Sus scrofa: one gene and its partner. The protein of the gene in region 2 purifies or fractionates together with the protein of the main gene of each other region. This does not show direct contact. Links are inferred from orthologs where the notes say so. Each region holds a gene or a part of one and is shown on either strand. Other genes may lie near its edges.

Region 1 (2,842 bases), on a different chromosome or scaffold from region 2:
CTCTGCCATGTGAGGACAGAGCAGGAAGACGGCAGTTAGGAAGTCAGAAAGCAGGCTCTCTCCAGACATCAAATTTGCTGTGTTTTGATTTTGGATTTCCCTAGCCTCCAAAACAGTGAGAAATCTCTGCTGTTTTTGTAAGCCACCCGGGCTATGGTATTTTGTTATGGTGACCTGAACAGACTAATAAGACATGCACCATGAACTGTGGCTTAAAAATGAAGGTTCAGGAGTTTCCATTATGGCACACTGGAAACAAACCTGACTAGTATCCATGAGGATGTGGGATTGATCCTTGACCTTGTTCAGTGGGTTAAGGATCCAGCCGTTGCTATGAGCTGTGGTGTAGGTGGCAGACGCAGCTCAGATCTGGTGTTGCTGTGGCTGTGGTGCAGGCCAGCAGCTGTAGCTCTGATTCAGCCCCTAGCCTGGGAACTTACATATGCTGTGGGTGTGGCCCTAAAAACCAAAAAAATGAAAACAAAAAAAGGTTCAAATACAGTGTAGTTAAAATGGTGAAGTCATTTTTATTTCAGTACTTGACAAAATACCCCATAAAATCCAAAACTTCTACCATTATACAAAAATAGGTCTCTACAAGTGATATTATCTGTCTTTATCACCAGTAGCAAATATATTAGGCAGTAACATGTAACTTCAGTAGCCTTATAAGAAAAGTGCAGGACACCTCGAGCTACACATTCAACAGTATCATAATGCGCAAAAGTTTAATCTTTTCACCCATTTGATAAATACACAAGGTTTATAATTTAATCATTTAAATTAGCATTCCACAAATATACATGTAATTTGATGATTATTGTGCATGAATACATACACAATGCTTATATGTACAGAATCCAGTTTGTTTTCATGTGCTGGCAAGGGATTTGTATACAATCATAAGCTGTGTTTGTATTGGTCCCGGTGAATATCCACAATACAAAAGCACAAAAGAACCATTGATTTACAAAAGGGAATTTGTTTAAAATCACTTTGATTCATGTTTCAAAGGATTATCTTCTCATGCCAGCATGAAACTGAGTTGAACCTGTAACATAGAAATAGGATACTTCAGTGATTTCAATGAGATTGTGACTTAAATCAGACTAACCAGTTCATAAAGGGCAGAAGAGGGACCTTGTGGCGCAATGGTAGCGCGTCTGACTCCATGAAGGGCAGAAGGAGGCACCATTTTTAAAAACTTTTTTCTGCCTAAAATAATCTTATTCAGAATTGAACTGATTTTTAAAAGAGACTCTTTTTTGTGTGTGTCTTTTTTTAGGGCATATGGAGATTCCTAGGCTAGGGGTGGAATCAGAGCTGTAGCAGCTGGCTTACACAATAGGAGACCTTGAACATATATTCAAAACTCACCGTGGCTGGCTCCAGGGCATGCTAAGTGAGATTAATGATAAGATTCTCTGTAAAGTGCCCTGCAGGTTGAATGTTCTATACCTCTTGCCTCTTGAAATACCTCTTGGTCTTAAAAATCTGGGTCTTGTGAAATATAAATGCTCAGGCCAACCAAGTCCTGCTATGATAATTGCTTCCTACAACTATAAGTTGCTTGGGTTAGACAATTTCTTATATGAAGAGGCAAACTACTAATTTAAAATAACTGGCTATTAGTCCTATCTATTTTGTGGGAATAGTAGGAAAAAAGGGTCTTTAATAAAAGGAAAATATACATATACACATACATACATATAAACTGACTTAAAGCTCATTAAATTAAAATGATTCAAGACCATTGAATCAGGAGTGAATTGAGAGACAGAGAAGAGAGGTTTTTTCCCACAATAAAAAGGGAAGGGATTCCACATTTACTAAGTACAAAAAAATTTTTGTGTGGTTTTCTTTCCCCCTCCCTTTTCCTGTTTTTTTTTGTTTTTAGCAGAGACAATAAAAGGTCATTCTTGCACAGTCCTTTGAATAGGATGGGTTTCTTGGATCACATATAAAAAGCACTTGCTTCCTCCTCTCATCTCCCCAGCTCTTATTTGGATGCCTCAGCATGTATCACTTGGCAGCAAATTCTCCAGCAGAAACTCTGTGTGTCTCAGAGTACTTTGTACATAGATGCTCATCATGTACTTCACCTAATCAATTGTCTTAATGAGATAAGCAGGAGAGTGGGATCCAGGGTGATAAATCAAGTTTTGGCTTAAATTCCTAAATCTAGCTTGGTAACTCATACTCAAGTTTAAGATTTGATTGTCCTAATGAGGAAGGTCAAGGAATTTCAAGAAAAGAAAGAGTTCTGGGTCTATCTAGCACCATGGTGCTGCCAGTACTTGGTTAAGCTGAGGGTACCTGACTGTACAGTTCCAAGCCGTCTCTGTAGCGCCTCTAGCCGAGTGATATAATCTGTCAGGGCTCTGTCAGGATCATAATTCTGAAGCTGAGAGCATGCTAAAGAACTGGGATTTAAATCAGCTGGAGTGCCTGGGTACCTATGAGATAAAAAATACGAACATGAATCCAAACTATCCAAAAACAATGCAAGCAATGTGCCAGTCGAGCTCCACCTTGCCTTCAAAAGGTAGACCACTGGTACTCTGCCTCATCTATATCCCTCATATGTCTGAGTTTGCCATGTATAAAGGAAAAAAACTCCTCAATAAATTCGAAGCAGATACTAAGTCATCAAAAGAATGTCCAGCACACTGCCTGTTGCCAAGGCCATCAATAAATGTTGCAAACATATAAATGCACCTTATGCAAACTTTAGAGTTTTTTTTCATAATTCTGGAAACTACCAATTTTAGTCAATGCCTTTCCCAATGTCTAATCACAGCATATATACCAATTAACACTTGATCAGCTCTGTTTCCTATGC
Region 2 (4,366 bases):
AGCCACCGGGCCCAGCCCTTCAAGGCCGGGCTCGTCCTTCCCAGGCCGGAAACCCAGCTCGGCCTGGCTCGTTACGATCACCCCTCACGTTTCGCCATCTGCCTCACCAAGGACAGAGGTGCCACTATCTTTCTGTGCCACTGTCGTAGACGCTTCTCAGAGCAACACCAGGGCGCGGACGGGCACCGTGAGCCCTTTTCTCCAAGCTGCTCCACTCAGCCCCAGCTGCCCCTGAGATCCCAGCTTGAGGCCAGGTCCCCTCGAGACACCGGCCAATCTGGAGAGTGTCTGGGGCCTGGCTGACCTCCTGGAGACACCTGGGGTGACAGGGCACCTTCCCGGGCCCCAGGGAAGCCAGGCCCCCCGCCTAGCCAGGGTCCACCTGCAGCCCCTCCCTGCACGGGGCGCTGGGACATACCTCTTACAGGCGGGGGCCAGAGCTGGAAAGGACTGGCCCAAGGTCACCAAGCCAGCCGCAGGGGCCTCCCTCTCCCAGCGCCCCCAGGGGAAGCCGCTCAGCCACTGTCCCCAGAAGGCACCCTGCCCTACAGCTCCTGGGGCGGCTGGGCAAGGCTGCCTCTGCTGAGCAAACTTCCGAGAGCTAAACAATCAGAATCAGGAAGAAAACACGAGTGTGAGCAGGGACTTCCTCTGGCCTGTGACGGGCCCTCTTCCTCCTCCAGGCACCTTGGCGGCCAGGGAGCCCGGGCCATGTGCACCCTCAGGCCTGCATCTCAGGACTCGGACCCGGGGGCTGTCTGCAGCCCAGGCCTTGGAGCCCTCCCGGGTGGGGGAAGGGAAGGCACTGCTGCCCTGCCCGGCCATTCCCTGCCATGCCTCCCCGTCAGTGCCCAGAGCTGGCATACACGACTGTAGGACAGAGAGATGGCTGCGCAGGGTCTGCTCCAGGACGCATCAGCTGGGCATTCCTCCTACCCCTGGGCACCTCGGGGAGCTCAGGGTCCAGCGGGTGAAGGCTGGGAGGCAGCAGCCCACGTGGCTGCTGTTGGCTGGGTGCTCACAGGGCCGGCACAACCCAGCTGGGATATACACACAGACAGCCCCCAAGCCTCAAGCCAGGCCACCGCCGCGACAGCTACAGGCAAGGCCGCCTCTCCCACAGACCAGCTACGGCCAAGGGAGGCACCCTCTGATCCCCAGGGAGCTGGGGCTGAGGAGTAGAGAGGAGGCTTGAGGACACTGTCCCCAAGACCTGCCCTCCTGCTGTGGAAAGCAGCAATCCCAGTGCCACCTGCGCTCAGAGGAGCAGACGCGAGGAACTGAGGCCGAGCTGCCCCACCTGGCCGCACCTGGCAAGGTGATGCTCCAAATCCAGCAGGGGCCTGGCTCCCTCTGCTCCCCTGGGTGCCAGTGGCAGCTACCAGTGGGACGCAAGAGGGCCCTGGACACCCCCCAGCCGCGTCTCGCCCAGCCACAGGACAGCCAAGGAAGCCGAGGCAAGCACCTGCCACCCCCAACAGGAAGCCAGAAGGTCACCCCCTGCAGCCCCCAGACGATGGCCAAGCCCAGGCTCACGGGCCAGAGACTGGCCCCACACCAAGGAGGGGCGGGGAGGGCCCCTCGTGCCCCGTCCCTGAGAAACGGCGCGCCGCGCCCTGCCCTGCCCGCTCGGGCGCCCAGAGCAGGAATCCAAACCACCTGGGGAACAGCGGGGCCAGGTGTTGCCGATAAGGCCCCGCTTTCTCCACCGACTCACTGAGAGGATCAGGGCCCCAGGCCTCTCTGCTCCAATCCGGGTTTTCACGAGCCTGGCTGGATTAACGCGGGGCCATGCTGAAGCGTCAGGCAACACCACATGGCCTGCCACCCTCTGGGGCGGCCCTGCTCCCGCCCAGGAGCCCCCCCAGGGCTGCCTGGACACCAGGGGAGGCTCTGAAGTGTAGCTGCACCTGCAGAAGCATGGGAGCCTCCCCCTCTTCCTCCCAGAGCCCCTCTTCACCCCTGCACCCGCCTTGTCTCAGGATCAACACCTGGATGGCCCCTCCAGGGAGAGGCGGCAGAGGAGCGGGCCGCTTTGGGCTCGGGCCCTCTTCCCCAGCTGCCGCCCCCCCCCCCAAACACACACATGCCTGGGCAGCGCCAGCGGGAGCCTCTCACCCCACAGGGTCAGTCCCACATGTCCCTGAACTTCAGCGACAGGCTCTGCGCGGGTCTGGTTCTCCCATTAACCGTTCCCTTCCCTGCCCTCTGCTCTGGGTCGCAGCTCCGACAAGGTCCAGGCGGCAGCAGGTGGCATGAGGACAGAGCTCCCCCACGCCCTCCCCAGCCCCCTGGAAAGCGTCCCCCCCCCCAACCTCGTGTGGGCTGGCAGCGATACTCACACAGCAAAGTGGTAGACGAAGCACTTCCAGCCGGTGGGGCGTTCGAGGAAGTTGTAGACGCGGCCCTGGATGTGAGTGCGAGCGAGCAGCGGGCGGCGCGCGCTGTAGATGGAGACGCGTGGGTCGAGGCTTACGCGGGGCCGCGGGCCAAGGTCGGCGGCGGCGGGGGACGCGGCGGGCGCGGCGGGGGACGAGGGCCCCGGGACTCCGGGAGGGCCGATAGGTGCGTAGAGCGCGCCGCCCGTCGGGCCGCCCTCGGCCAGCTCCAATGAGAAGGGGCACTTCTTGGCCAGGCCCGCACTGCCCCGCCGGGCGCCTGGCAGGCGGCCCCCGCCCCAGCGCTTCCTCTCGGCCCTGGGAGGGGAGGTGGCCGCGGCCATGGCCAGGCAGGGCCCGCGGGGGCCGGCCGGGCGGCAGCGCCAGGAGTGGCGGGTGCTGTGCAGGCGGCCGGGGCTGCCAGGCCCGCCGCTGCCCGCCCAGCCAGGGCGTGGGGGGCGGGGCCGCGAGGGGGTGGTGGCCGCGGGCGGGTCCCGGGGGCCGGCGAGCCCCGCCCCGGGCCGGACGCCCCGCCCCCGACCCACTTTTGCGCACCTGGCGCCTCAGCCCCCGCCCCGCGATGGGCCCCTCCCGCGTGGTCCGCGCCCACCTGTTTGCATTCCCGTCTCTCTTGCTTGACCCACCGTGCCCACCTGCTCCGTCCGCCCCCTCTGCGCTCCTCGCTCCGTCCCTTCTGGGCCCGAGATTTTGCCCGCACCTCCCCTCACGCCCACCCGACGGCTAGGTCGGCAAGAAGCCCCCAGGGAAGCCAGGGAGGAAAGCGCTGGGTCAGCAGGTGCAGCCACCAGACCTGCCCGGGCAGGAGGGCGGGGTGGGGCTTAGGCACTCAGACCCCCTCTGAGCCACTTCGCCTAGAATAGCAGTGAAGGGGAAGGAGGAGCGCGCCAGGAGGAAGGCGCGTGCCTTCACTCGGAAAGTATTGACGGCATGCCTGCTGGAGCCCTGCCTGTCCCCGGGGCCCACGGACACCTGGAGCGCCCCCTGAGTTCCCGGGTTCCTGAGCAATAGTCCCAGCACGGGTGACGTGGGAGGAGAATGTGGTCAGGTCGGTGCCCATAGGGCACCTGTGGGCAACACGGGGCCATTGTCAGACAGGGATGGCCCGGTGGGGGGTGGGGGAGCCATGTGCGTGGGGAGGATTCCAGGACTCCTGAAGCCGAAGTCGCTGGGTCTGGACAGCGGCACGGGAGGCAGGCTGCCCTGGCAGGTCAGGGGAGAGGCGCTGGAGACTGCATTTCTGCCCTCCTCGCCCTCCGGACGGGGCTGCCACTGCACCCCTGGGTTTGCCCGGTGGGGGTGGTGTAGAGGTGGGGGTTAGGGTCAGAAGGAGTTCATGCCCTGGCACCTGGGACCCTACACTGGGCCTGGCATCAGGGTGGAGGATGGGTGTCCAGAAGGAAAAAAACGGCTTCCCTCAGGACATTGTCCTGGGCAGGGGGACAACCACCCCACCACATGGGGACCTGTAACCTCGGGGACACGTCACGGGTCCTGACTAAGCACTCTGGACTGATTTATTTAATGTACCCCACCCACCCACCGAAAGTCAGTTCTTGCTGGACGAGGGCAGGCCTGCCTTCGGCCCTGACTCCCCACACCTCGGGTGGTGCCTGCATAGAACCACGCAGTTTGTACTTGCAGAAAGAATGAGTGCAGTGGGTCCCAAACCGTGCCAGGCACTGCAGAGACTCAGGCCACGGAGGCAAGGGAGCCTTGCCAGGAAGTGTACCCCTTAGGATACAAAATGGGCCGAGAGCCAGGAGAAGGGGAGAGCCTTCCCCCGCAGGGCCCCGGGGACAGGCAGGGCTCTCGCGGGCGTCCAGTCAGTGCCTTCCGAGCGAAGGCTCGCACAGGTGTGGTTTCGTGCATCCGCAGCCCATGGCGCAGGAGGAAGAGGAACGTTTAGTAGGCGGGCATAACAGCTGGAGAGCCTTTGAGAAAGAAGGAAGGTAGAGTCGATCCGCCTT

Evidence for each region. The genes of interacting proteins can lie anywhere in the genome.
Region 1: the proteins of KCNQ1 (region 2) and AKAP9 purify together in Homo sapiens (affinity purification with western blotting; 3 studies listed by BioGRID and IntAct, with this or other methods). This does not show direct contact. The link is inferred for Sus scrofa from reciprocal best matches to the Homo sapiens genes KCNQ1 and AKAP9.

Annotation. Positions count from the first base shown.
Region 1 is NC_010451.4:72,052,561-72,055,402, reverse strand, and holds the end of AKAP9 (A-kinase anchor protein 9), read right to left. Parts: intron 2,457-2,842; coding exon 2,317-2,456; coding exon of another isoform or gene 2,270-2,316; exon of another isoform or gene 1,052-2,269; coding exon 1,017-1,051; 3' UTR 505-1,016; downstream 1-504. UniProt on the Homo sapiens protein: Scaffolding protein that assembles several protein kinases and phosphatases on the centrosome and Golgi apparatus. Required to maintain the integrity of the Golgi apparatus. Required for microtubule nucleation at the cis-side of the Golgi apparatus.
Region 2 is NC_010444.4:1,673,766-1,678,131, reverse strand, and holds the start of KCNQ1 (potassium voltage-gated channel subfamily KQT member 1), read right to left. Parts: upstream 2,810-4,366; 5' UTR 2,723-2,809; coding exon 2,343-2,722; intron 1-2,342. UniProt on the Homo sapiens protein: Pore-forming subunit of the voltage-gated potassium (Kv) channel involved in the regulation of cardiomyocyte excitability and important in normal development and functions of myocardium, inner ear, stomach and colon.